7 linked regions of the Macaca fascicularis genome follow. The protein of the gene in region 7 interacts with the protein of the main gene of each other region in a pairwise test. Links are inferred from orthologs where the notes say so. Each region holds a gene or a part of one and is shown on either strand. Other genes may lie near its edges.

What was found.
Region 1: the proteins of TCEANC (region 7) and SSNA1 interact in binary tests that used the Homo sapiens proteins (3 or more experiments, as listed by UniProt). The two-hybrid records come from large-scale screens. The link is inferred for Macaca fascicularis from reciprocal best matches to the Homo sapiens genes TCEANC and SSNA1.
Region 2: the proteins of TCEANC (region 7) and RAD54B interact in a two-hybrid assay, tested with the Homo sapiens proteins (2 studies listed by BioGRID). The two-hybrid records come from large-scale screens. The link is inferred for Macaca fascicularis from reciprocal best matches to the Homo sapiens genes TCEANC and RAD54B.
Region 3: the proteins of TCEANC (region 7) and PNMA1 interact in binary tests that used the Homo sapiens proteins (3 or more experiments, as listed by UniProt). The two-hybrid records come from large-scale screens. The link is inferred for Macaca fascicularis from reciprocal best matches to the Homo sapiens genes TCEANC and PNMA1.
Region 4: the proteins of TCEANC (region 7) and OBI1 interact in binary tests that used the Homo sapiens proteins (3 or more experiments, as listed by UniProt). The two-hybrid records come from large-scale screens. The link is inferred for Macaca fascicularis from reciprocal best matches to the Homo sapiens genes TCEANC and OBI1.
Region 5: the proteins of TCEANC (region 7) and CSRNP1 interact in binary tests that used the Homo sapiens proteins (3 or more experiments, as listed by UniProt). The two-hybrid records come from large-scale screens. The link is inferred for Macaca fascicularis from reciprocal best matches to the Homo sapiens genes TCEANC and CSRNP1.
Region 6: the proteins of TCEANC (region 7) and TARBP2 interact in binary tests that used the Homo sapiens proteins (3 or more experiments, as listed by UniProt). The two-hybrid records come from large-scale screens. The link is inferred for Macaca fascicularis from reciprocal best matches to the Homo sapiens genes TCEANC and TARBP2.

Annotation. Positions count from the first base shown.
Region 1 is NC_088389.1:2,127,324-2,131,167, forward strand, and holds SSNA1 (microtubule nucleation factor SSNA1), read right to left. Parts: upstream 2,257-3,844; 5' UTR 2,184-2,256; coding exon 2,132-2,183; intron 1,843-2,131; coding exon 1,643-1,842; intron 1,118-1,642; coding exon 1,010-1,117; 3' UTR 569-1,009; downstream 1-568. Other genes in the region: ANAPC2 (anaphase-promoting complex subunit 2), read left to right, coding at 2,377-2,493, 2,806-3,428. UniProt on the Homo sapiens protein: Microtubule-binding protein which stabilizes dynamic microtubules by slowing growth and shrinkage at both plus and minus ends and serves as a sensor of microtubule damage, protecting microtubules from the microtubule-severing enzyme SPAST.
Region 2 is NC_088382.1:104,050,534-104,054,342, forward strand, and holds part of RAD54B (DNA repair and recombination protein RAD54B), read right to left. Parts: intron 1,389-3,809; coding exon 1,163-1,388; intron 544-1,162; coding exon 336-543; intron 1-335. UniProt on the Homo sapiens protein: Involved in DNA repair and mitotic recombination. May play an active role in recombination processes in concert with other members of the RAD52 epistasis group.
Region 3 is NC_088381.1:141,640,123-141,644,644, forward strand, and holds PNMA1 (paraneoplastic antigen Ma1), read right to left. Parts: upstream 2,859-4,522; 5' UTR 2,094-2,858; coding exon 1,032-2,093; 3' UTR 234-1,031; downstream 1-233.
Region 4 is NC_088391.1:69,691,061-69,695,320, forward strand, and holds the start of OBI1 (ORC ubiquitin ligase 1), read right to left. Parts: upstream 2,866-4,260; 5' UTR 2,801-2,865; coding exon 2,729-2,800; intron 1-2,728. UniProt on the Homo sapiens protein: E3 ubiquitin ligase essential for DNA replication origin activation during S phase.
Region 5 is NC_088376.1:101,224,885-101,229,176, forward strand, and holds the start of CSRNP1 (cysteine/serine-rich nuclear protein 1), read right to left. Parts: upstream 3,045-4,292; 5' UTR 2,391-3,044; coding exon 2,370-2,390; intron 1-2,369. UniProt on the Homo sapiens protein: Binds to the consensus sequence 5'-AGAGTG-3' and has transcriptional activator activity. May have a tumor-suppressor function. May play a role in apoptosis.
Region 6 is NC_088385.1:60,315,525-60,318,558, reverse strand, and holds the end of TARBP2 (RISC-loading complex subunit TARBP2), read right to left. Parts: intron 2,615-3,034; coding exon 2,542-2,614; intron 2,400-2,541; exon of another isoform or gene 2,314-2,399; coding exon 2,196-2,313; intron 1,877-2,195; coding exon 1,749-1,876; intron 1,367-1,748; coding exon 1,165-1,366; intron 1,022-1,164; coding exon 864-1,021; 3' UTR 583-863; downstream 1-582. Other genes in the region: NPFF (pro-FMRFamide-related neuropeptide FF), read left to right, coding at 123-240. UniProt on the Homo sapiens protein: Required for formation of the RNA induced silencing complex (RISC). Component of the RISC loading complex (RLC), also known as the micro-RNA (miRNA) loading complex (miRLC), which is composed of DICER1, AGO2 and TARBP2.
Region 7 is NC_088395.1:13,442,912-13,447,177, forward strand, and holds the start of TCEANC (transcription elongation factor A N-terminal and central domain-containing protein), read left to right. Parts: upstream 1-1,373; 5' UTR 1,374-1,453; coding exon 1,454-1,643; intron 1,644-3,155; coding exon 3,156-4,216; 3' UTR 4,217-4,266.

The sequences.
Region 1 (3,844 bases), on a different chromosome or scaffold from region 7:
CTTCAGGCAGTGCTTGGTTGCTGCAGGGACAGAACAGAGGCCCCAGGGCACGCAGAAGGATGGAGGTGGCCAGTGCTTGGCGTGCGGCCAGGGAAAGGGGCAGCAGGGCCTGGTGGCAGCAGTGGTGTCATCAGGCCAAGCAGGACTTGCAAGGAGGAACTGGTGGGGGTAGGGGGTGTGAAGCCCCCCCAGTCCTTGCTGAGAGAGACCTGAGTCTGAGGCAGCTGCTGGATATGCTTGGCATCCCTAGCTGTCTCTCTGGGCTGGGTCCTATGCTGGACACCAGGGTGTGGCAGAGAACAGGACGAGCGAGCAGAGCTGAGAGGAGGGTGAGCTGTGGGCCAGTCAGGGGAAGAGGACCAGCGGCCCTGCTGGGGAGGGCCGAGGGTGGCGCTGGCCTGGGCGGGGTGGGCACCCTCAGCGGTGTCCCTGAGGCTAGTTGGGCAGTCATAGGGAGACCACTCCAGACGCCTCCTCCCTCCTTTCCCAAGGGGGAGCCTCAGGCTCTGGCTCTGCAGGTGTCTGGCAGCCCCACACTGTTGACACGGGCAAGCAGCAGGCTGGCACGGACCTTTACAAAGATAATCTTTATTGATAATCACAGGCCACAGGGGTGAGCCCTGAGGTTTGGGTTCTGGGGTGAAGGAGAACCCCTGTCCCCTGCCCTGGGCCTCTGCTGGCTGAGGAGGGACAAGCTGAGGGGGCCCCCATGGTGCACAGACAACCAGGGCCTCCCCAGCAGGGCAGGAGTGTGGGTGCCACAGAGACAGGCCCTTTGCAGAGCTGACCTGGAACCCACCATCCCCACAGCCCGTGTGAGCACAAAGCCCCTGGGTGGGCTGTGCCCTGGCTTGTCAATGATGCCAGTAGAGGCTGGCAGCCGCCCCTCTCGGCACCGGGGACAGTGAGGGAAGGCAGCTGCTGCTGTGAAGAACAAAGACGCTCTGAGGACAGACTTGTCGGGGCTGAGGTGAGGGGCGCACAGAGGCAGGCCCTGCCCGTGGTCTGGTCAGCTGTCCCTGCCACCGCTACTTTTCTGGTCTGAGGCTGTAGCCTTGGTCAGGTTCCCAGCTTCCCTCTTGAGGACGCTGAGCAAAGTCTGGGAGCTCTCCAGAATCTGGGGCCAGAGAAGTGAGGAAGTTGTTACTGTTCACCTGCTGGGAAGTTCCTAAGCCCCAGCTGTCCTCACACTCAGGTTCTGGGACCTGGCTGTGGGTGCTGTAGCCAAGGGATCCTGTGCGGGGGAAGGCGGAAGCCCAAGGGGACTGGCAGACGGGGTAACAGGGCCCTCTTCCCTCCTGAATCTGACCCAGAACACTTCCTCCCCACCCTCAAAGCCAGGCTGGGTTAGCACTGGCCCAAGACGTGGCTCTTCACACTCTAAGCAGAAAGAACCACATGGCTAGCGAGAACCGGATGAAGACCAGGACCCAGGATGCCCCAGGTCCCCCAGACAGCCCCACGGTCACTCCCGCAGCAGCCTGGGTTCCTCAATGGGCCTGGCCACGCTGCTCCTGCCCGACATGTCAGCGAGGCACAGACTGCCCACAGCTGGGAGCCCCAGACGGTCCTGACGCCCTGCCGCGGCTACACCCCTGCCGCGGCTATCCCCTGATGCTCCGCCTGGCCTCCCGAGCTCCACCTTGAGGTAGGCGGCCTCCGTCTCCGCGATGGTCCGGTCGAACTCGTTGCGAGAGGCAATCTTGCGTGCCAGGTTCTCGTTGACGCGGGCCAGCTTCTCCGTCAGCTGCCTCACCTCATTCTGCAGCCGCTGCTTCTCGTCCTCCTCCTCCTGGATCTGCCGGCACAGCTCTTCCCGCTTCTGGCACAGCTCCTCTATGCCTGGGGGGCCAGGAGGGGCGGGGCTGTGGGCCCAGGGCAGGAGCGCGGCGGCGGAGGGCGGGCCTCCTTCCACCCGAGGAAGCCAGAGTCAGGCACCACCCCCGAGCACCCGGCGCGGGGCCTGCGAGCCAACGAGGGCTCGGGGCCACGGACACCCAGCCCCCGGCACGGAGGGCTCTGCTCAGCTGCGCGATGCCCGCAACTAGGCGGGTCCAGGGGCACCCCGCTGCGAGCCGGGAACCCGGCCCTGCGGCCCTCCCGACCTCCCCGTCCCGGCTGCGCCGCTCACACTTGACCAGCTCGTTGTTGTAGTTCTGCAGCGCCGCGCCCTGCTGGGTCATGGTCTACGCCGCCCGGGGCCCCGCCACCCCAACCGACGCGGAACCAGCGCTGTCCGCGCCTGCGCACGACTCCCTGACGGCGCGCCGAACTACGCGTCATCGCTGAGCGCCTTGTGCGCGTCATGGCTGCGCGTGCAGACTTGCGTCATCGCTTTGCGCCGTGCCGAGGGGATCTCGGAGCCGGTGGCTGCAGATGGCGGCGGCAGTTGTGGTGGCGGAGGGGGACAGCGACTCCCGGCCCGGACAGGAGTTGTTAGTGGCCTGGAATACCGTGAGCACCGGCCTGGTGCCGCCAGCTGCGCTGGGGCTGGTGAGGCCTGGGAAGAGAGCGGCGGCCCCGCGCGGAGTTTCCGGGACCCTATGCACTTTGGGGCGGCCACCTTCGGGTTCATACAGCTCTGTCCGTCATCCGCCTCTGCCCTGTCCTGCCGCTTTCCACCGCCATTCCACTTCATTTCGTTCAGCTCCGCTGGCAGCCCTTCCCTAGTTTCGGCCCAACGTCCGGACACCACGGACAGGGGGCAGCGGAGTTTTTGCAGCCTACCCCTCAGCTTCTTCCCTTCCCCGCCTCTCCCCACCTCTATGTTGTGTTCCCCTCGCTTCACGGTTTTCTGCGCTCCAGGTGTCTTCCCGGACCAGCGGTGCAGTCCCGCCAAAGGAAGAGGAGCTCCGGGCGGCGGTGGAGGTTCTGAGGGGCCACGGCCTGCACTCGGTCCTGGAGGAGTGGTTCGTAGAGGTGCTGCAGAACGATCTGCAGGCCAACATCTCCCCTGAGTTCTGGAATGCCATCTCCCAATGCGAGAACTCTACGGATGAGCCCCAGTGCCTTCTGCTGCTCCTTGACGCTTTTGGCCTGCTGGAGAGCCGCCTGGATCCCTACCTGCGTAGCCTAGAGCTGCTGGAGAAATGGACTCGCCTGGGCTTGCTGATGGGCACTGGTGCTCAGGGGCTGCGAGAAAAAGTCCACACTATGTTGCGCGGAGTCTTGTTCTTTAGTACCCCCAGAACCTTCCAAGAGATGATCCAGCGTCTGTATGGGTGCTTCTTGAGAGTCTATATGCAGAGTAAGAGGAAGGGGGAAGGGGGCACAGACCCGGAACTGGAGGGGGAGCTGGACAGCCGGTATGCCCGTCGCCGGTACTACCGGCTCCTGCAGAGCCCGCTGTGCGCAGGGTGCAGCAGTGACAAGCAACAGTGCTGGTGTCGCCAGGCTCTGGAGCAGTTCCATCAGCTCAGCCAGGTCTTGTGAGTAGTCTGTCCTGATGGCCGTGCTCTCGCTCCTACTGGTTGCTCCCCTGGGTCCAGCTGGCCTCTGCAGAAAGCTGGTGAGCCGTCCTGATAACCAGGAACATGACAGAGAGAGAGTCCCTGGGGTTCCTGTGCAGTGTGTCCTGGACACAGGTGTCTCTCTTCTGTCACTCACCTGCAGTCCCACGGATTCATGCCTTGCCCATGGTAAGGCCCTATGTGGCTTTTGTCTGCAGCAGCAAATTTCTTAGCGACTCCAAACTTTCTGAACTCTGCAGAATTCCACTGTGACTTTTGTCGACCCTGAGGCAAGGAATGATTCTCACCCTCGTCGACATTCCTTGCCCTGTAATTGTGAACAGAAGCCTGCTGCTGCTTCTCTCCAGGGAGATCAGGTCACTGTGAGGGCAAGT
Region 2 (3,809 bases), on a different chromosome or scaffold from region 7:
AAAAAACTGAGGCACAGAGACACTATATAATTTGCTTCCAAGTTGTTACAGCTATGTCAGACTCGGGAACCAAGCACAAGCAATCCAGTCTGATCTCCTAAATTCCTTATCATGATATCATTGTGTTTATTCCTAAAAAACCCCCAAGTCTGGGCTACAAAAAATTACACATGGATTTGAAGATTCAGAATCCTACTAAGAGTCAATTAACACAGGTTTATTAGTATAAATTCCATCCAATACCACCAGTTATTTGAATGTTAAGCATCATAGTACAAGGCTGTATGTTCACTAGGCAAAAATTCCAAAATATCTTCCCCAAACTGAATACTGACCAGTTAGAATTATTCTTTTCTCACAAGAAAGGCTAATGAGGGCTGCAGTTGTCTTAATGGCACTGTTCTTCAAACGATGCCCCTCATCACAGATTAGAAGATCAAATTTTATATTCTTAATTTGATCCAGGGAACGAAGTAACATTTCATAACTGATAATAAGAACAGAATAAAATATAGACTTGATGAATTCTTCAACTTTGTGGTCCTGAGGAAAAAAGATAGTATTTTAAAAATCAGGAAGAGAAATGATATGAAATCAAATTTAAGCAGCCTATTCCTGACAGTCACTTATTAAGAACTGGAATATGTTAACTCTTTCTGTCTTAGTCAACTGAGGCTGCTATAAACAAAATACCATAGATTGGGTGGATTAAACAACAGACACTTATTTCTCACAGTTCTGGTGGAAAGTCTAAGATCAGGGTGCTAGCATGGTTGGGTTCTGGTGAGAGCCCTCTTCCTGGCTTGCAGAAGAATGCTTTCTTACTGTATCCTCACGTGGTAGAGAAAGGAAGTTCTGGTGTCTCTTGCTCTTGTTACAGAGGCACTAATCTCATCACATGGCTCTACCCTCACCACCTCATCTAAACCTAATTACCTCCCAAGCCCACCTCCTAATACTGTTATACTGAAAGTTAGAGTTTCAACATATGAATCTGGGGGACACAAACATTCAGTTCATAACAACTCAAAACCAAAATGTAAGCTAAGACTCCATTTTTGTGCAAAAGGGTTAGGGAGTTAACAAGTAAAAACTGAATTACTGATTTGAAAAACTAGATTTTTTTTTTAAATGACTAAGGCTAAATTTTCAAGTTTCTTACCTGATCAACAGTAAATATCTTGATCCTTTCACTTCCTAGCCACTTTTGAAATTCTTTCTTCCAATTATTCACCAAGCTTCCAGGTGTGACAATTAGTGTCTTCTTTATTACTGGCTTGCCTCCATAGGGTCCCTGACACTGCAGGGTCCAGATGAGCGAAATACATTGCAATGTTTTCCCTAAACCCATTTCATCAGCAAGAATAGCTCCACATCTGCCATTCATTCTGTTAGAAATAATTTTACTTCCTTTAATCACAATAGAAAAATATTTTATGCCCTTAAAATCATCAAGAACCAGAAACTGGTATTTTTTAATGACACTGAAGACTCTTTTAGTACTTTATTAGCTGATTTACAACACATCTTTTGCATCTTTGATAATTATATCCATTACATATTGTCAACTAAATTACCAAAACATAAATCTGAAATTAGAGAGTTGAATCTAAATCATCTGCTACTATTACATGTACATATTTAGAGGCTAGAAATGAATTCCAATTTTATATCTGCATATGGATAATTTAACTATAACTGTGTTTCTCATCGCTAAGAGTTGAGTGATTTTTATTGGTTTCAGATATCAAAACAGTTTAAAATATATTGTTGTATTATATTTAATCAGCAAGACCTACTGAGCTGTATTTTATGATTCTGTCAGTAAATGAAGTCCTCAACAAAAATAGCTCCCTGCATCATAAAAAAATTAAACACTAAACACTTGATATAATACACATAATTTAGTAAAAGTTGTTATCCTACAGACCTACTATGTTATATAATTTAAAATTAAATGTTATTAGGGATATTATTAGTAAGATCATGTATTTTTATGCCACTTTATATTCCTAAAGACCTTAGCAGTGTATGTTTTATATTTTTAAAGTTAAGAAAGTCCAAGGGAATTAAGGATATTACAAAAATGCATAAGTATACAGTTGACCACTGAACAAGAAGAGTTTGAACTGTGAAAGTCCACTTATATATGGGTTTTTTTCAATAAATGTTATAAGTGAGTGTGCCTACCTCTCTTGCCTCCCTTCTATCTCCTCCACCTCTTCCGCCACCTCTGCCACTCCTGAGACAACCAAACCAACCCTTCCTCTTCCTCCTCTTACTCAGTCTACTCAACATGATAAGGATGAAGACCTTTGTGATGATCCATTTCCTATTAATGAATAGTAAATACATTTTCTCTTCCTTATGGTTTCCATCATGCATTCTTTTTACTGGCTTACTTTACTGTAAAAATACAGTATATAATACATATAGTATATGAAATTATGTGTAAAATGAGTGTTTATGTTATCAGTAAGGCTTCCAGTCAACAGTAGTTTATTAGTTAAGTTTCTCCCAAAGTTATATGCAGATTTTTTACTACACAGTGGGTCAGCACCCCTAATTCCTGAGTTGTTCAAGAGTCAGCTATAGTTTGTTAGCTAATTGTATTTCTTCTTAGTAGAAATTAAGAACCAATATGTAATTTTGTATTTGTGTTCCATTTCAAGGTATAGAGAAAAATATTACCAACATAAATTACAGCTACTATTTAGGTAGCTGTTTTAGATCAATAATTTGGTAACAAAGGACCAAATGTCAGCCAAATGAGATACAGTGAATAGCAAAGAGAAAATACAGATTCATCTTTTCATGGTAAAGAGAAGGGAGCAAATAGGAAGCCTTTATGGAGAAGATGTATCTTGAGCAAAATTGTAAAGGGTAAATAATTGCTACACTAATGAGGCAGTTGAATATAGTTGGAGCTTGAACTGAAAAATATGAAGCTACCATGGTAGGTAGAAGACAAAAGATGAGTATACTTATCCTTGAGAGTTTAGACTGTATCTTATAGATCAGCATCTCCCAAACACTAGGATTTCATGACTACTATCATGATTTGTTGCCATATCTGTGATACTATATGTTATTATTTTTCTTCAAATCAACTCATTTTTAACTTAAATTTGAAAAGAAAACTCATTCTAAGCATAATTTATCTGTGAAACCAAAAGTTTAATATGCTATTTTTCTTTTTTTTTTTTTTTTTCTCGAGACAGAGTCTTGTTCTGTTACCCAGGCTGGAGTGCAGTGGCGTGATCTTGGCTCACTGCAAACTCCGCCCCCTGAATTCAAGTGATTCTCCTGTCTCAGCATACTGAGTAGCTGGGATATAGGTGTCCACCACCACGCCCAGCTAATTTTTGTATTTTTAGTAGAGAAGGGATTTCACCATGTTGGCCAGGCTAGTCTTGAACTCCTGACCTCAAGTGATCCACCTGCCTTGGCCTCTGAAAGTGCTGGGATTACAGGTGTGAGTCACCATGCCCAGCCTATTTTTCTAATAATTAACTAAATATGCTACTATTCAAATTTTTTTAAAAGGCTTGTCCACTTGCCACCCCAAAATAGTCCCATATACTGCCAGTGGAGTAGGGATCACAGTTTGGGAAACCCTGTTCTAACTTCTGAGAGTCTCTGAATGATTTTAAATAAGGGAATGCCAAAGGCCGGGCGCGGTGGCTCACGCCTGTAATCCCAGCACTTTAGGAGGCCGAGGCGGGCGGATCACAAGGTCAGGAGATCGAGACCACGGTGAAACCCCGTCTCTACTAAAAATACAAAAAATTAGCCGGGCGCGGTGGCGG
Region 3 (4,522 bases), on a different chromosome or scaffold from region 7:
CTGCCCTTAATAAAAATAAAAAATTTAAAAAATTAAAAAATAAACCAAAAAAATGTTAAGATGACAGCAAGAGGGGAAGGAAAAAAAAGGACTTGCCATTTAAATTCACATAGTATCATACAAAGCTTAAGAGTAAAATAAATGGTTTAATGACAAAGTCTTCATAAGAAAAAAGGACAGAGTTTACTTAGGCTAAAAATGTTTATACATGCCAGAAAAATGAGAAGACAACAGAATTTTTAAAATATTTTAATTTGTATATATAACTTCAAATTTAGAACACTCAGTATGAACAAGAACTATTCTCTGACAAAGATCTGAAATGGGGAAGTGAATTACTGTACAGGTGCATATCAACCTCTCCATGCAATTTACATCTGTATCTTATGCAATGAGAAACTGGTTTACACAGCTCCGTAATTGCAGTATTTTTTTAACACCCCATTTTGCAGTCTCAGAATACTTTTCAATTAAACTGATCGACATGTTTAAAGATGAGAAATATGATGTTTGCATTGTAAAGTTGAGTAATAGCTAATAAATGCACATTTCCTTCCATCAATATAAATCTGGAACTATTTATGGTAAAGAAAAATCTATCTGCGCTATCAGTAATCTAATAGTTCATACTTTTACTGAACACTTCCTGTGAGCCAGGCCCCGTAGTAAACATCTGCACATGCAATTTCACATTCAGTGTGGAATAGGAAGTGTCAGAGGTTCGTGTGTTTTTCACAACTGATTATGATGTCCATGATGACAGCGTGCACTAAGCGCTGTGTCCAACCAACCCTTTACCTGGCACTTTAGCCAGCAAGACCCACTTGCATTGTAGCAGCTCACGGTGCTCGCTTGCACAATTTTAGAATGTTACATGAATACTCAGGCCTGACTAACCTTCCCCTCCAAAAAAACAACAAAACGGAACAGGGCTAAGCCTTTACTACTCAGAGACACATCTGTAAGACCCCCACAGGGACAAGAAAACTAGCTGTGATCTAGGTCTGCACTAAAGCTGTCTTTTCTGGCACTCAGAAGTGCCCTTCCAGGCCTAACTGCAGAAGGGTGGCCTCAGCCTCCTCCTCCTCCTCCTTGGCTTCCTCCTCACGGATCTGCACCAGCAACTGAAAGAGGTTTGGGGCCGGCCCTTCCCCAGCCCCGGTAAGCCACAGCTGCCTTCGGATGGCCCCGCTGTGGTTGGCCCCAGCAATGACCTGCTCTAGGCGGGCCTGGTTCACGTTATCTTTATCAATGGCCCCCTTCTCTACCACCTTCTGTAGCAGAGGCTCCAGACGAATGACATAAGCAGACAATTTTTCTCCCGGGTTCTGATAAGTGTTCAGAAATTTGATCTGGGCATCCCTAGAGCTCTCAACGCTCCCAAACACCTGCTCAAGCGCCTTCAGGCATTCGGCAGTGGTTATCGCGGGGTTGTTGGACTTGAGGATGCGAATGACATCAGCGGCAGGGCCTCTAAGGCTCTCCATCAACCGCCGCCTCTTTTCTACATCGGACACCTGCCACTCCTCTAGGACCTCATTAGTGTGCTCCAGCCAGGGATCAAAGGTTTCCTCTCCAGGCCCTGGGATGTCCCTCCCCGAGAAAAGTGTCAGCCTCTTGTACCATATGGACTCAACAAGAGGCTGAATAACATTATCCAAAATATAGTTTAGCATCTCTGCTGGCATCTCTGGGCCCGGGGTCGGAGTAGGGTTCTGAAACCCAAGGACACGCGCAACATCTTGCACGGTCCACCCCTCTCTAGCTAGGAAGAGGTGCAATCTTTCTAAAAATTCAGCATCAGAAGTTGGGGGCTTAAACAACACTTTCCAGACCCCTCCTTTGCCCGGCATCTCCCTGGGGATCGCGGCGTAATCGACAGCGCCAGTGAGCTCTAATAAGGCTGCTTTCGCATTTTCTTCCCTCCAGAACATTCTCCCAAGCATTCGGTAGGGGACCTGGGGCATCGCTGCCTGGAGGGTCTCTTCGATTTCAGCCTCATCACAGTTCACTGGGATGCCCCAGACCAACAGAGCTCTCTGGGAGTTCACATCCATCCCCCGGCACCAGTCTTCCAACAGTGTCATCGCCATTTTCTCAACTATCAAGACGCCAATTCTACCAACAGACTGTGGCTCACCGTACTCCTGGCCTTAGAACAATACCAGACACTCCCACCAAATAGGCCCAAGGGAGGTAGGCTTCATGCATTCACGACTAACAAAGACACAGAGTCCTGATCTCGCCCTTCTCTGCCCCCCCAGTCAGTCCGTAGGTACACTTGGAGCTGAGCTCGGGGACGCTGAGGAAGTCACGCGGCCGTCGCCATCTTGCGTCTGGGTCCGGGTCCGGTCGGGTCTGCCGCTTGCAGCCGGGCTGTCGCGTCGTCGTGCAGCGGGCAAGGAGCGAGGGCGGGCGGCGAAGGCAGGCGCGCTGGGTCGAAAGCAGCCGGGGTGTGGTCGCGGGGCGTGCCCGCCGGGCGCTCGCTGCGGCTCCTGGAGAGGATCGGGCGTTCGCGGTCGCAGCCCGGTCTTCCCGCGGGCGAGGAGCGGCCGTTTGGGAGACTAGCCAGAGGGAGAGACTGTGCCGAAGTCGCGGCGGCTGCGGGCCAGCGGAGAGCGGCTTCTTGGAGGGCGTGGGGACTCCTCTTGGCGGGCGCGGGGACTCCTCTGGGCGGGCGGCGAGGACGGCCGAGGACCAGAAACGAAGGCAGCAGAGGAGCAGGAAAGCCGGAGAAGCGAGGCTGGAAACAGCACAGGCAAGGGTGGGCAGCGGCGGCCGCGGCGGCCTGCAGCGGCTCAGGCGCTGCGCGGCTGCCCCAGCGTCGAGTCCTACCCGCAACCCGCTGCGACGTTACTGCTGCAGTGGAGGATGGGGCCAGCCCGCGAGCGGCGTCAGCCCCGCCCCGTCCCGCCCCCGCGGCGGAGCCGCTCGGGCGTCGCCATGGCAACGGCGCCCCAGCTGGCGCGAATCACGCCTGCTCCGGCGGCCCGCGGGGGTCGAGCGGTTGCCATGGTGCCAGCGAGGGGCTTGGGCATTTGTTTCTCTGATGGCGCATTTCCTTTTTCATAATTTTCCATTTTAACAGCAAACAAATACTGCTAAGCACCGTGTTTTAAAAATAATAACCCAATCCTGGAGTGCATTTAAGATGATACTATTGGAAGTCATGGCATCCCTCATGGTGGACTTGTCTACTCGGGTTGCCCAGCCAGTCCACCCTGCACGTGAAAATACTCTCCTCAGAACCCTGGCTTCCCGTTACCCCTGACCACACTGTGCACCCTGCATATTTTATCCCAATGAAGCCGGAGTGCGCCATTTTTTGTGTGAGATACTGAGTTTAGACTTTTTCTTGTCTAAACTTTTGTAAACATCTGTTTGTCTGTGTCTACTGAGTCATCTTTTAGCCAGGCAAACATTAGTGTTATTTTCCTTTTCCTGGCTGGCATCGACAATAGGCTGCTAAAAGAGAATCCTTATGGCTCAAAAATGTCGAGTAATCTCCCTGCAAGCAAGACAAGGCCCACTTACATCAACCCCAGATGGTGAAAATCCCGAGAGAACATAGCATTCAACTCTGAATTTTTAAAACCTTATTTAATAAAAGGTTTAAAGATACAGAAGAACATTCAAAAGTAAATAAGTTACATAGGTACATTACAATCACATCAGCAAGATTCTTTAGTGTATTAATTTTTTCTTATAAAAAGCACACAAAAAATAAAATCTTCAGTCTCTATCACAACTGTACAGCAAAAGAGGTAATATTTATATGTATGTACACTATTTTAATATGTAACAGTCTTTTTCAAAAAGGGTGCCACAGGCAGCAAACACACAAAAGGCAGTGTCTGATCATTTTTGTTTCAAAATAAAAGGAATATACTTATTTATATGCTATTAAAATATTTGTACAATAATTACAGACTGTCAAGGCTGTTCCTGTGCTCTGTCCCCTCCAACAAGGCCTTCAACTTAGAGACAAATGAGGAAAAAGTGAAACAGCTGCAAATTGTTAGAGGCAAATATTAACATAGCAAAATGTGGGGAGGACACAATTGTTTTATAAAAATATCCCTACTTCCTGTAAACCTATGGAGTTAGGCTTGCCAGTCTGATAATAAATACCGTCCCAGAAAAGCGAGCCCCAGTGAAAACAACTAAACAGCTGAGGCTTGAGCATGTGTTGTATTCCTCCTTCATCTTAACATCTGGCACATGAGAAGAAAGAGGTTAGGTCACTGAGGCAGTTAAATATAGGCGATCCCTTTAGACATAAGCAGCAAAAGACCTTGGTGCCAGGAGTGGAAGGGGGCGCGGCAGAAGGGGTGGTATGTACCTTAGCTGTGAGGGGGGCTGCTGAAGGCATGGAGGACAGTAATGATGGCTCTGCCTCCTTGGATGGGTGGAGACCTCAGAAATGGTCTGCAGCACAGGCACTAGGTCAGTTTCCCGCCCTTAGCTGAATGCAGATGGATGCTGGGAGATGGATATGGTGAGATGGTGTGGGGAGGATGTT
Region 4 (4,260 bases), on a different chromosome or scaffold from region 7:
CAGACTTTACGCTGAACTTTGCACATGCTTTGTGTAATCTTCTGAAAACTGAAAGGATAGGGAATTCATGTTATTACCATATTTCTACTGTTACAGATAAGGAAACAGGCTCAAAAGAGTTAAGTAACTTCAGCCGGGCACAGTGGCTGTGCACAGAGGCCGAGGCGGGCAGATCACCTGAGGTCGGGAGTTCAAGACCAGCCTGACCCACATGGAGAAACCCCGTTTCTTCCAAAAATACAAAATTAGCTGAGCGTGGTGGCGCATGCGTGTAATCCCAGCTACTCGGGAAGCTGAGGCAGGAGAATTGCTTGAATCCGGGAGGCGGAGGTTGCGGTGAGCAGAGATGGCGCCATTGCACTCCAGCCCGGGCAACAACAGCAAAACTCCATCTCAGAAAAATTTAAAAAGTTAAGTAACTTGTAAAAGGTTGTATGACTGGTAAGATTAGAACCCGGCTAGTCTGAATGTAGAACTCAGGCCCTCACCGAAATTTCTGCTTCCATGGTGGTATCTGGCTGGGGAGGCGGATGGGGAAGCCAGTTTAAAAATCCTTATTTTTTTTTCTTTTCTTTTTTTTTTTTTTTTTTTTTTTTTGAGACAAAGTCTCACTCTTGTCTCCCAGGCTGGAGTGTAATGGCGCGATCTCAACTCACTGCAACCTCAGCCTCCCAGGTTCAAGCGATTCTCCTGCCTCAACTGGGATTACAGGCGCCTGCCACCACACCCGGCAAATTTTGTATTTTTAGTAGCAATGGGGTTTCACCATATTGGCCAGGCTAGTCTCAAAACTCCTGACCTAAGGCGATCCGCCTGCCTCGGCCTCCCAAAGTGCTTGGATTACAGGTGTGAGCCGCCGCGCCCGGCCTAAAAAGTCTTAATCTTTTTATTTTTATCATCTGATTTTTATTTTATAATAAAGTTAACCAATACAGAAAAAAAAAAAAAAACCACTAAAAGTGCCTGCTATCATGGATGAGCTTAGGTGAGTGTTTTACGAAGTAATCTGAAGACGAATGATGATAATGATAGAGGTTCAACTGTGAAGACTCAAAGCCTTAGTACTCCGAAGACACAAATGATAGTATACAGGTTCAACCACAAAGACTCTAAGCTATAGTATTCTTATTTTAAAAATGGAAAAACAGCCCTATCTTAAAGCACTGGTGTGAAGAGTAAACAAAATAATATATGCATACAAAAGCACTCTGTAGTCTGCAAATCACTCACTATATTCTATGAGGTATCACTCTCATTAAATACAGAAAGTATAGGTTTGGTAAATCAGACAGAACACTGTCAACACAATTGCAAAAGACAGCCTGTAACCAACGGAAACTAGGTATAATGTGTAAAAAATTACTTCCCAAGCATATTTTTATCAGCCTTTAAAGCTAGTGTTGGAGGAAATTAACTCAGAATTTAACACCCATTTCCAGGGACTTTATGTCAGGAGCCAAATGCAGACTGCGGCAAATAGAAACATCGCTTCTTCCCTCCCCCTAGCCATGCATGCAGGCAGTAAGTAGTAGCAAATGCCAGCTCAAACACCACCCTCGAGGAGGCCATCCTTAATCTCTCCAGTCAAATTGATCAAGCCATCCCCAATACATAATCTCCCAGCACATTTGCTATTTCATTGGCATTTCATTCTGACTGCTATCAAGAATTATCAGTTGCTTCCAATGCTGACTTACTTCTACTTTTTGAACCCAGTAAATTCACACAGAACTTGAATCACCCCAGGCAGATCGTACTGGCCGGCACTCAAATGCTTGCTCTAGAAGTTTGTATTTCTCAAATCTAAGTCTACGGCTGTAGTTTCAGTCTGCGCTGGGGGGTAAACACACACCCAGACACACTACAGACGTAAAAATAATTCAGGGTGGAAAAAAATTGGTGGTTGTATCTTTCCCCTTCTTGATCTATTCGGTAAAGAAATGCTCTTTAAAACACCAAAAGTGAGGCGCAAATGGAAATGAAAGAGCAGAGGAATGCATTAGAATATTCAAAGCTCCGTTTCTAAGTCAGAACCACTTTCCCTACCTTGTTTCACAAACACAGTAGGCACCTCTTGCATCACAAAGAGAGAGTATTCTATCTCCTGACTGACCCATTCTTGGAGTTAAAGGCCACACCTCTTATTCTAATACCCTCCACAGGCACTTACTATTTACTTTTCAAATTAGGAATTCAGAGCAAAGGTCATCCTCAAGGCCAGGATAAGAAAAGGCAAAAGGTCTTGGAAATGGAAAAGACTCAATACACAGCACCATAGGCCCCAGAAGATGAACACTAGTTACACGGAGGAATAAAGAGCCCGAGGTGAGGCTCCCAGGAAATGTGTTTTAATAGGCTTCACTACACGCCACGCGAGCTTGCACAGGGAAGTTAAATATCGCTGCGACGTGTTTCTGATGGGGCCTCCTGCGAGGCCGGCGTCTTGCCGGTGTGAGGCCGCGGGCGGTGGCAGGGCCGTCTCGCCGCCCTCCTGGCAGACCACGGGCCGCTGTCACCCTCTACCGAAAGGCGCCCAGATGAAACCATTAATCACGGTGCACTGCCCCAGTCTCCCAGGACGCGGCTCCCATCAAGAACGCGGGTGAGCGTTTTCTCCTATCTCGGCGCCTCACGCCCCTTCCCCGCCCCCGCACGAGACCGCCCTCGGCCCGGCAAGCGACTTCATATCCAACCCCGTTTTGTAGCTGTGCCCACAATCACCCATTACCTTCCCCAAGCAAATGTGGCACGTGATGGGCAGAGTGAGCGACAATGTAACATTCTGCACGGTCTGAGCCATGGCAGCTTTCAGAATCCCGCCAACACGGAAGTCCCGCCGACCTACCGCGACTCCTCGCCAAGACTGGGCACGCGCGGACCGGCTACGGCGGCCCGATAGGGCCATAACCCGCCTGGGAGAGAAAACGCACTTTGGAAACGCGCGATCTCCAAGGCATTTTCCTTTCATTAAAAAAAAAATAAATAAATAAATATATAAAATAAAATAAAACAAAATCACTGGTTAGGGAGCTGCAAGATACCTACGAATGTGTAGGAAGGTAGTTTACTACAAGTCTCGAGGATCTTGGAAACTCTAAAGGAATGCGTAATAGTGGAGAGAAGAGAGGAAGATACGGAAAGGCGATTTTTAAAATCCTCAAATTGTTATCGGGGATTGGATGGGGTGAAGGAGAGTTTTTCCCTAATTATTAAACCCCACACAGTCCGTCAACACAGCGCAATCAAAACATGAAGAGAAAAGACGTTATCTACACGTTTCAATTTTTTTTCAAAACAGCTTTCCACCTCTGTCAGTTCTCTTTCCACTCAAATAATATAATGTGCTTCCAGACGGTACAATAATTCACTTAAGAAAACAGTGATTGTCTCCTTATCTGTGTCTGAGACGATCCGGATACATTTAATCGCAGCTTTCCCTGAAAATACGCTTTCCCTTGGGCTGTTCTTGGTTTTCCACCAAAAGGAGATTTAACGTTTTAACGTCTTGACTTCAGGTGCATGGTTGGATACGAAATGTACCGCTCTGCTGTTGAACCCCAAGGGAGAATTATTTGTGAGGTTATAAATTAGCTTTTCCTACCAACAAAAAAAAAGAAAAAACCTAAAAGTTCCTAAATTCATCTTAAATGAAGTATAGCAGATTTGGAATTTATCTGCAACTTACTTTAAGCGAGGAAGAGCTGATGTGATAAATTATACTAACAAATAAAATCTGTGAGTTGAGCGATTTAAAAACAAGACCACTGAGACAACTTTTACTAATCTTTCTGAAAAAGAGGCAGTATGACTTCAAGAAGCAGCCTCATGGTTAAAAGAAACGGTTCTGGACCTGGGCTGCTCCAGCGAAAATCCCTGCCCCCAACAACTTCCTACCTACATGGTAGCTCCATGGCTTCAGGCAACTTTTGTTTTGTTTTGTTTTTTGAGACAGAGTCTAACTCTGTCACCCAGACTGCAGTGTAGCGGTTCCAACACAGCGATCTTCCAGGCTCAAGCGATCCTGTCCGCCTGCCACAGCCAGCCTCCTGAGTAGCTGGGATTATAGGCATGCGCCACCACGCCTGGCTAACTTTTGTATTTTTAGTAAAGATGGGGTTTCACCATGTTGATGAGGCTGGTCTCCAACTCCTGACCTGAAGTGATCTGCCCGCCTCGAGGGTCAGGGAGTGGTTTCCCCATGTTGCCCAGGCTGGTCTCGAACTCCTGGGCTCAATGGATTCCCCCTCCTTGGCCTACGGA
Region 5 (4,292 bases), on a different chromosome or scaffold from region 7:
AAGCAAGAATGGTGCTCAAAAGGGGTGGCTCTGAGGGCAACAGAGGGAAGCTCAGGCTGCAGGCAGGTGCCAATGTACGCAATCCCAGGAGGCTCCCCGGTTCCCCAAGAGGTACCAGATGGAGAGAGATGTCAGGAAAGCGGGCTCAGCCACACACTGCGGCTCTGCCTAAGGGATGTCCACAGAAAGAGAACTTAAGGTGAGGAGGTTATGACCTCCAAGCTACAGACAGGGAAACAGAGACACAGGGAAGCTACAGTCCTGCCGCAGGTTCTAGTGATGAACAATCCCTTCCAAATCTGCAGCGCAGGAATGAAATGAGAAATTACCTCCTCCCTGATACTCCTTCTGGAGAGGCGGGGGAAGTGCCCCTGGTTCTCGTGTTCCTCTGTTCCACGTGGGAATCCAGAGGCTAAGAGGCAGAGGCAGGAGATGAGACAAAAAGACTGAGCCAGAGACAAGGAGAGGCCAAGAGGGAATGAAAGATAGTGAGAATCTAAGTGTCAGACAGTGAGTCAGAGGTGGGGGGAGGGGCCCTCAGCAGCTACCCAGGAATCAGGATTCTGACCATGGCAGTGTTCCCAGGGTGAGCACAGCCCCCTCCCTAGGGTCCTGGAGGAAGGAAAAGCAGTTCCCAGGAGCTGGCTTGGACAGAAATACCTCACCGCCGAGGAACCCCAGAGACAGGCCCTGAATCAGAGAGCCAGGCTTCTTCTGGGATCTGAGCCCTGACAATTGGGCAGCCCTCCTGCCACCACACACAGGCACTGACAACCCCCCACTCAACTGGCCACGGTTATCCACACACTCAGGTCACACTATGCGAATCCAGGAAAGGCCACCTCACCCCTGGGCACCAAGCAACCAAGGGCTGTTTTCGAGAAGTGGGGGCGGGGCTTGAAAAAGTTGCAGCAACTCCTCTGTCCACCTCGGCAGTCCCACCAGTGCCCCAGGCCTCAGCCCAAGCCAGTCTTAGGGAGGGGGCACCTTTAGCTGCCTCCATCCCCCTTCAGGAATCTGAAGAATGTGTCCTTTAACCTCTGAGCCCCAGGCCTTGGCCAGTCCCCCCAAAACACTTGGGGTCACATGACCCCTGTCCCTCAGGAACAACTTCCTGGGAGAAGGGGAGGGCACCTCCCAGCACCTCTAGTCCCCACTGAAAAACCAGCCTGGGTGGCCCAGAGAGGACAGACCGAAAGCCTTGGCACTTCCTCCCCAAGCATCCCTCTGAAGGAGAGCTGGGGGAGGGGATGGCTCCTCAGCTTTGGCCTTCAGGACCTGGCACTGGATAGGTGCCAAATGTATGCTGGCTACATGAGGCACTTGTTCTTGCAGAAGGGACATTGCACCTGACAATGACTGCTTCCTCCACCTAAGACGGGCCTTCTTCCCTCTCTCATTCATTCATTCATTCAACAAATAGGCACCAAGCTCAACAAATACGTGCCAAGCACTGTGGCAGGCACTCACGCATGCAGGGAGCAAGACTTACACAACTGCGGCCCTCTTGAAGCTCTGAGTTGAGCAGGGAGGACAAATAGAGTGGGTTGCTGGGATGGAGGGTCTGAAGGGTGGGACAGGGTACGGCTGGGGTGAAGGTAGGTCTCTCTGAGGAAGGAAAGTAGGCAGAGTTCCAGATAGGGACTCCGTATGGGTAAGGAACAGGAGGAGGGACCAGGAGAGTGTGATCGGAGGAGGGGCAGCCCGCGAGGCTGATCCTGGGCTCCAGGGCAGGCTTTAGCTTGAGGGCACGGCAAGCCACAGAGGGCTTAACTAGGGAGTGACAATGCCAGATTTGCATTTTAAAAACGTGGCTCAGCACCGGGAGTGGAGGGGGTGTGACCGGTTGGAGGTGCTGCCAGGGCCAGGTGAGAGGACAGGCCAAGGGCATAGGAGAAAGGCAGATACTGGGATGTGGTGAAAGAAGAGGGCAGGGCTGTCAAGGATTTGGGTCGGGGGAGGTGATGAGTTACTCTCCAAAAGGATTGAGACTTCTGGGTGGAGGTGCTGGGTGGGCAGCAGGACACGGGGAGGGACTCTCTGGTGTCAGGAGTGTGGGCTACGGCTGTGTGTGATTGTGCCAGGAGCGGGAGTGACTAAGTGTGTGACTATGGCTGTGGTGTGGGCATCTCCACAGTGCGTGCCTGTGAATGGGCCCCGGGGAGGAGAAACTGAGGAAGGGGAGGAAGTACGTGCTGCGGAAGGAGGAGAAGTGCGTGGGAGACAGTCTACGTGTGCCTGCGGGTGGCCGGTGTAGCTGCGCCCGTGACTCACAGCAGTGGCCTCTGAGAGTGACGGCGACTGACAAACAGGTGAGCCTACGACACAATCCCTCCCTCCCTCCCTCCCTCCCGGGGTCCGTGACTCACCGCGCCTCCCTGTTCGCTCATCCCTCCACTCCCTCCCTGACCCCCGCCGGCCGGGGGCGCCCGGCACACGCCGCAGCTCCCGCAGCCTCCCCGAGGGGGGAGCCCGAGGAGGAAGGCGACAAATGTCACCTGCTCCGGCCACGCGAGGAACTTCTGAAAAGTTCTCAGGCAACTGGGTCAAAAGGAAACTCGCCCGCGGACGCACGCCCCCGTCGCCTTGCCGCTCGCGCGCAAGCCCTGCTCTGTCCCCACTCGCGCAGAGCTCGGGGAGCCGTGACTTCTCTCGGGGTTACCGCGGCAGGCGGGGGAGGGGAGCAGAAAACCTGCGACTCCCGCTGGCCGGACCCCCGGCCCCCGACTCCGGCCGCGGCACGCCGTCAAAGCCGGGCAGCTCCCGCCCCCGCGCCCGCTCAGGGTGCCGAGGAGAGAACCGCAGGAGGCAGGAGCGGCAGTGCCACTCGCGCTGAACGCCCCCTCCCCAAAGTCCCGTCCTGCCGGGCCCAAGGCCCTTCGGCGCTCACCTGCAATCCGGACGCTCGCGGAGGAAAACGACGCGACCCGCGTCCCGGCGGGGGACGCCCCCAGCGCCGCGACTCTGTGCGCTCGGCCCGGCAGCCGTCGGTCCAGCCGCCCCTAGCTCTGCGCGTCCGGCAGCGGCGGCGGCGGCGGGAGACTGGCTGCGCCCAGCCCCGCCCGCCGCTCCGCCCTCCTCGTCAGTGGAAAACTCCGGGGCTCACTGCGCTGACGCACGCCGGGCCTCCAGCCAGGCCGCCCGGCAGCCCCGCCCCGGAGGCGCCGCCTCCTCCCCCGCCTGGAGCCTGGCGCAGCGGCCTGGGGGCCTCCCTGCGGACTCTGACCCGGCGACGGCGCCTCCGCCGCTCTCCGCCCCCAGCCCTCTCCCGCCAGAGCCCTCCCCGCCCCGCTTCCAGCACCGTCCCTAAAGGCGCGGACGACTCAAGCTGGCAGAGCCGGGAGTAGAGATCCCCCCTCGCCCCACCGCCCCAGCTTACAGATGGGTAGACTGAGGCCGGGAGCAAGGCCAGGGGCTAGACAGTGGCACAGCCGACGTCTCCCGTACGCTCTCCACCCCCACCCCTCTAGAGGGAGTTTATTATATTCCAATCTAAACGTTCCCTCCTCCGCCCCCAGCCTACCACCCACCCCCAGATCCGTCGGAAAAGTAAACTGTGGCTGGAGAGGAATCTGGGGTGTGTGGGGAGCAGGGAGGCGGGGAGCGGGAAGGATGGATGTAATCAGTGGGCCTGAACTTCACCCCTGCCCACGGGCGAAGAGACCCTTCCCTGCAGAAGTCCCAAACTAGGGGTTCTTGGAACTAGCTTCCCCACTCCCACCTCAACCTTCCCTTAAAAAAATAAAAAGTCTGGTTTCTTCCGGGCCAGATCTTGGCCACTTAAAATGGCCCACTGCCTTCTCTGCTCCCGCCAAGGCCTTTCCTGACTCAGGGCCAACCCTCCCGGTACGACTTGCCCCGGCAACCAAGTCCTGGCCTGGGAGCCCACCCTCAGCCCCACTTCCCAACCGCAGGTACGGGTCTACCCATCACCTCGAGCGTTTCCACCCTCACGCTTTTGCTGCAGCCGGTCTTCTCGACTGGAATGCTCTCCTGCCCTCTCTCTGCTTACCAGAATCCCAACGCTTTTAAGGGCTCAGCTTGCACTGCCTCCTCCAGGGAGCCTTCGTGGGAGCCTGACCCTCCCCCTCCCAGTCCTGCTCCCGCTGCATTCTGGGTTCTTCTGACTGTCCTAGATGAATGCTGTCAGCCACTAGCCCAGCCCTCAGGATTCCATTCTACCTTCCTCCAGGTTGGGGGTGGGGGTGACCTCCTGGCCTGTTTGAATGGTATCTGGGGTGGAGACGATGGTGAGAGCCCCTCTTCAGCCTCAGATGTGTATGTAGAATGGC
Region 6 (3,034 bases), on a different chromosome or scaffold from region 7:
TCTGAAAGGGACACAAGCATGGCAGGGGTTGGGGGTAGAAAGGGCAGGAGACAGAGGACGAGGAGAAGGAAGGGGGCTAGAGAAGAGAGACTGCAGGGACCTGAGGACAAATCTTTCCTAAGGTTTGGCAGAAATACCCGGGGATCCTGGAGCAATGAACGGCTGAGTCCCCGGGCTGGAGAGGGGCTGAATTCCGAGTTCTGGAGCCTGGCTGCCCCTCAACGCTTTGGGAAGAAGTGACATGTCATCCCTTGATATGTTTGCATGCAAGGCCCACACCCAAAAGTGTCAATATTTGCCCCCCAAATAAAGTTGTCTGGCTTCTGAATCCATGTGTGTCTGTGTGAGACTTTACAGGGCTGGGTGGAAGCCCAAGAGCAAGAACCACTGCCCTTCCCTCTCCACCAAACCCAGCCCTCCAACAAGGCAGCCGACAACATTCCAGGAGGCCACTGCACCCAGCCTCCTCCCACCAGAAAGGAAAACATGAGAATGGCTGGAACAGGAGCTCAGGGAAGGCACACAAAAGTCATGTGGTGACCTCCTCTGCTATCCACACTGCTCAGGAAACGAGAGAAAGGCTTAAAAATCTACAAAGCAGCATATTTATTCCAGGCTCTAGTAGACAGCCCCGATTTCATTCCCATTCATCATCACCAATAAAATGAGGACGAATCCTGGGCTGGCTGAGGCCCTGTGGTCCTTGGCTCCTTGCCCTGTGCCTTCTCAGCCTCAAGGCAGGCAGTCTGTGTCAGAGGTAGAGATGGTACCCACAGAGGGTACCAGAGCTGCGCAGATACATGAGCCCAGAGGCAGAAAGAGCAGGGAGCAAAGGGTGCACATCCATGAGTCCAGCTGGGGCTTCACTTGCTGCCTGCCATGATCTTGAGGTACTGCAGGGCACGGCGGGCAGCCTCACCACGGGCTGCCTCCCTGGTGGTTGCAGAGCCATGACACACAGTGGCCGGCTGGGTGGACAGTTCCACCAGGCACTGGCAGAGTCCACTCAGGCTCAGTTCCTCTGGAGAGCAAGAGAGAGGAAGGAGGCAATGTTGGGTGGGGAGGTAGCCCTGGGGAGGGGTGCGTTCACGTCATCATCACCCCCCTCTACTTGCTCCCGTCCAGCCCCCACCATCCCCTGGCTCACTCCTCAGCTAGCCATACCAATATCCAGGTAGCTGACATGGAAGGCCTGCTCCTCAGAGAGCTCACTGAGGACACGGCAGCAGGCAGGGCCCAGGGCACCCAGGGAGCCCAGGGAGCAACTGCGGAGGGACAGGATCTTCTCTCCCACTGAATTTCGTAGAGAATCCCAGGTGCAACCTGGGCCCCGGTTTCGAAGACCATCCAGGCGGGAGCCCACACCCTGTCAAGATGGGAACAGTGAGAAAGATGAAGCGAGAGACTGTGGGACCCAGGCATTGAAATATTCAACGTCAAAGGAGAAGAACAAAGAATGCTTCCTCCAGCTTGCCTCCCCCCACTCAATCCCTGGGTGGCCCCTTCTAACTACCAGGTCCTGGGCCAGATAGCCAAGCATCCCTCCTCATCCCAGTAACAGAGCTACAGAGCGGGCCTACAGTCAAGGCTGAGTCGGCCCCAGGAACCCTGGGTCTGGTAGGAAAAGTGTGGCAGAAGCAGGCCTAGGACCCAGAGAGGCTCACTGCTGAGTCACAGACCCAAGTCCCTGGAGCCCTGCCCTGGCATGGAGGATGGGCCACAGTGCCCAGCCCACATGAGCCACTCACAATGGAGAAGTGGTCATCATCAGGCTCCACCTCATTGCCATCCCGGGCATCCAGAGGCACCGTGTGTACTCGAAGCAGCATTTTGGCCGCCGCATTCCGCTTTGCCAATTTTTTGGAAGTGCCACTCCCTGCATGTGGAGAGAGGGCTGCTGGATTATGATTCCCCACAGACCCAGTGCTTTCACCCAGGTCATACTTGGATTAAGGGTCCCCCCAGAATGTCAACTGGAAAGGGGAACTCAGGACCTGCCCGTGCACCTGAGAACCTGGTCGGCCAGGAAGAAGGGGACAGATAGGGTGCCAAGAAGCTAAAAGGAAGGGGCTGAGCCAGGGACTGTAAAGCTAAGAGAGCAGGGGGTGTAGCAGAGTGAGGCTAGGAGCTGCTCTGGGGCTGGGGCCAGAGTGCTGCGGGAGAGGAGCTGTGAGAACCCCCTCCTGCCCGGTTACCAATCTCAATGAAACGCTCCACTCGGCAGGTCATGGTGAATTCTTTGCGGTGGGCTGGTCCGGACTCCTGGGTCACTGTGTACTCTGGCAACCGCCAGCCTTTCTGCACCACCAGCTCCTTGGAAGGGAGACACAGGGTGCATGAGGCTGAGTGAAAAAAGGCTTCTCACACCCACGCTGGTCCCCACGCAGGAGCCTCAGACTCTAGGTGAGAGGAAGGAGAGAGGGGGGTGGAAAGGGCCTCAGTACAGGGAACCGCCCCCACCCCCAAACACACATAACCTTCCCTCATGGCCCCTGACTCAAAGGAAGACAGGCATGCATGCGAAATGAGGATGGAGCACACCTGCAGAGCACCAACAGGATTGCACTCAGACTGCTGAGGGGAGACAGGGGGCTGCAGTTCCATGGGGGGGCTCCTGAAGGAAAAAGGGCACAGGGCCAAAGTTGAGGTGAAGGGTTCCATCTGAGCCTGCCCATGAGCTCCAAGCCTAACCACTACTTTAGATTCCTGACTACCATCTCCTGATTCCCACCGGGCAGGCAGCTGTCTGTTCACACATCGAGCCTGCTCCCTCCTGCTCTAGCCGGCTTCCTTCCCCCTCCCACTCAAGGGAGGCCTTCTCCAGGCCCCAGCCCATTTCCAATCTGGAACACTTGTGTATCATCCAAGCCAGGACAGTGGGAGAAGAGCTGTATTTCCAGTCCCAGAAGTGCCTGATGGGCCTCAAACACAGAACTGACATGTGGTCAACCCAGAAGAAAATGGGGCCTGCGAGACCCTTAAATATGGTCGAACATCATCCATAAGGCTATCTGAAAATCACAAATGACCTTCT
Region 7 (4,266 bases):
AATATTTGACTCAGTTCAGAATTTCTCAACTGAAGGTCTGACTGAGTTTCAAGGTGATTCTTAAAGGGAATTGTAATTATAGCTTTGGGGTTTCAGTGGAGTGAAAGCAGTAATTTGTCTTACCGGCAAAATGAGTAAATCTATAGAAGTTAATGTATTTATGTATAAACAACCAAAGCACTTTGCTCTTCATTTTATATGTTCTTTTATTGACCTTTATATTTCTTTAAAAATTTTTAATTGTGATAAAATATACAAAACATAAAATTAACTGTCTTAAGCTCCCCCCCCCAGCTTTTTTTTTTTTGACAGAGTCTTGCTCTGTCACCAGGTTGGAGTGCAGTGCACAATCTCAGCTTACTGCAACCTCCGCCTCCCGAGTTCAAGCAATTCTCCTGCCGCAGCCTTCCAAGTAGCTGGGACTACAGGCGTGCCCCACCACGCCCAGCTAACTTTTTGTATTTTTAGTAGAGATGAGATTTCACTGTGTTGGCCAGGATGGACTCGATCTCTTGACCTCATGATCCACTCGCCTTGGCCTCCCAAAGTGCCGGGATTGCAGGTGTGAGCCACCACGGCCAGCCTGTCTTAAGCCCTTTTAAGTATACAGTTCAGTAGTGTTAAGTACATTCTCATTCCAGAGGGAAAGTAGGTAGAAGGTGATTGATTCATTGCTCATACCATTTTTCAGTAGGTATATCTTAAATGTATATAGTTTATCATGAAATTACATTAGACTAATAACTTTTCTGATTATGAAAACAATACACGCTCATCACAGAAAATACAGAAGAGGAAAAGAACAAATGAAAATTACCTAAAATCTTGCCATTCAGAAAATGCCCCTCTTTAAAATTTTGTGTAACTCTTTTCAGTCTTTTCACATGTAATTCTTAAATAAAATTTGGATCAGATTCTATTTTTAAATAACACCTTTATTCAGATGTAGTTCACACATCATACAATTCACCTAAAGTGTGTAATTCAGCGTTTTTTAGTATACTCAGTTGTATAACCCATAACCACAAATAAATCAACTTTTAGAAGATTTATTTGTGCCACCACTCCCCAAGAAAATCCCTGAACTTTATCAGCTGCTCCTCCTTCTTCACCCTGCTGCCCTTCTGCCCCACCCTACCTAGTCAACAACTAATCTATTTTCTGTCTCTATAGATTTGCCTGTTTTGGACATTTCATGTAAATAAAATCATGCAATATGTGGTGTTTTCTGTCTGGCTTCTTCCGCTTAGCATAATGTTTTCAAAGTTCATCCATGTTGTAACCTGTATCAATACTTCATTCCTTTTCATGGCAGAATAATATTCTGTTGTGTGGATAAATCACATTTTATTTATCCATTCATCAGTTGATGGACATTTCGATTATTTCCCATTTTTGGCTATTGTGAATAATGCTGTTATGAACATTTGTGTACAAGTTTTTGCGTGGACATATGTTTCCATTTCTCTTGGATCTGCTGGGTCATGATAACTGGTTTATTTATTTATTTTATTTTTTTAGACGGAGTCTTGCTGTGTCGCCCAGGCTGGAGTACAGTGGCATGATCTTGGCTCACTGCAAACTCCGCCTCCCAGGTTCATGCCATTCTCCTGCTTCAACCTCCCAAGTAGCTGGGACTACAGGTGCCTGCCACCACTCCCAGCTAATTTTTTGTATTTTTAGTAGAGACAGGGTTTCACCATGTTAGCCAGGATGTTCTCAATCTCCTGACCTCGTGATCTGCCCGCCTTAGCCTCCCAAAGTGCTGGGATTACAGGCGTGAGCCACCACGCCCAGCCCATATGATAACTGTTTAATCTTTTATATAGTTTTACATCTTGATTGTTTTTCACCTAACTTTATGACCATTTTTCCATGTCATTAAATAACTAAATACATGATTTTTAAATGGTTATATTATTGTATCTAAGGAGTGTGCCATATTTTTAACCATTCTCCATTTAACCATTTGAGGTCCTTCCAATTTCTCCTTAGAAAAAAATTCTTACATATGCAGTCTCCACATCTCTCATTTCCTTAAAGTAAATTTACGGAAGTAGAATTACTAAAAGGTCATTATGTTTTATGTCACTTGTCAGATGGTGTCTGGGAAGATTGCATGAATTCTCTCTCTAAACACTTCAGTGTTCTTAGCCTGTGTATGTTCAGTGGTGATTATTTAACATCAAGTGCTATAAAACAGAGCCCATGGATTTTTGAAAAGACACAGTCCCTGCCATCAAGATGCTTATGTTCACATCTAGACCAGACAGATAAATATAGATCCAAGGGTATTATATAGACAAGATTATGTACATTATGTGGAGAGGAAAAGGTAGACTGCTTAGATAAAGTAAACGCTTGCCTGCCTAGGATGAGATTCACACAGACATAATCATTGAGCAACTTTTTACGCTTAAAAGTTTTTAAAAAATTAACAAAACCAAAATGTAGGAACCAGTTAGTCTAAAGTCATAAATCATCTGGATCATTGAGTCTGAACCTTTCCCTTGTTCAGGAGACTTCTGAGGCAGCACAGTGTAGCCTGTTGGCTTTTGGGACCCGCAGACGTAGCTCTAGCTGCTTTTCAACCTGTGCTGTCTCATGGTTTCTTTAGATTGCTTGAGACATTAGCAAACCCTTTCTGTCTTGTTTCTTACTCTTTTATATTCAGAAGAGTACCACTTTAAAGATTATGAAATGAGCAAGTAGTTCAATTATATAGCTGACTCTGGGGAAAAATTGTCTAGCACTGTTCAGCATTGCCATATTGATGCTGACACTGGCATGATTTCATCTCCAGCATGACCACCGGATTCCACCCAAATGGATTGACTACTCTAGAAAGATCATTGATTTGTAAAATTGGAGATGGAAAAGCTATAGCAGATCCCCTGGCGAGCCTCTTAAGCAGATGTTATGTAGAGGCTCTGCAATACTGTTTGTTTATTTTTCACTAGTAGGAATTAAACTCTTGAGAGTAAACCATACCACCTTAAAGACTCCGTTTTCTAGTATGTCACATACATTTGTATTACATGACTCCTTCAGAAAACAATGCCTAGGTTACTGACAGAAACTGCTATTTTCGTATCCAGAAGCTGCGACTAGCAAAGGCAAACTTAAGAAAACTGAAACCTCTTTTTTCTTTGCAGCTGTAAAGATGTCTGACAAGAACCAGATAGCTGCCAGAGCCTCCCTTATTGAGCAACTGTTGTCCAAAAGGAATTTTGAGGATCTTGGCAACCACCTTACTGAGCTAGAAACAATTTATGTGACTAAGGAACATCTCCAGGAGACAGATGTGGTGAGAGCTGTATACAGAGTCCTCAAAAACTGCCCCTCTGTGGCTTTGAAAAACAAAGCCAAGTGCTTGCTATCAAAGTGGAAAGCTGTTTATAAAGAGACTCACTCCAAAGCGAGGAACAGCCCTAAATTATTTCCTGTGAGGGGTAATGAAGAAAATTCAGGACCTTCTCATGACCCAAGTCAGGATGAGACACTGGGCATCTGCAGCTCAAATTCTCTATCTTCCCAAGATGTTGCAAAACTCAGTGAAATGATTGTGCCTGAAAATAGAGCCATTCAATTGAAACCTAAGAAAGAGCATTTTGGGGATGGTGGCCCTGAATCCACTGGTAAGAGATTGAGTGAGTTGCTGGATCCCATAACACCCATGAGAACTAAATGCATAGAGCTTCTTTACGCAGCTTTAACTAGTTCTTCTGCAGATCAACCCAAAGCTGATTTGTGGCAAAACTTTGCAAGAGAAATTGAAGAGCATGTTTTTACCCTTTATTCAAAGAATATCAAAAAATATAAAACTTGCATCAGAAGCAAAGTTGCCAATTTGAAGAACCCCAAAAATTCTCACTTACAACAAAACTTGCTCTCTGGTACCATGTCTCCACGAGAATTTGCTGAAATGACTGTCATGGAGATGGCAAACAAGGAACTGAAGCAGTTGAGAGCCTCCTACACAGAATCTTGTATCCAGGAACATTACCTTCCCCAAGTAATTGATGGCACACAGACAAATAAAATAAAATGCAGACGCTGTGAGAAATACAATTGCAAAGTCACTGTAATTGACAGAGGAACACTTTTCCTTCCCAGCTGGGTGCGGAATTCAAACCCAGATGAACAAATGATGACTTATGTAATTTGTAACGAATGTGGGGAGCAGTGGTACCACAGCAAGTGGGTGTGCTTTTAACTGTAAATGAGTGTTCTCTTAACAGATAACCTGAGTGATTGATACCTTTT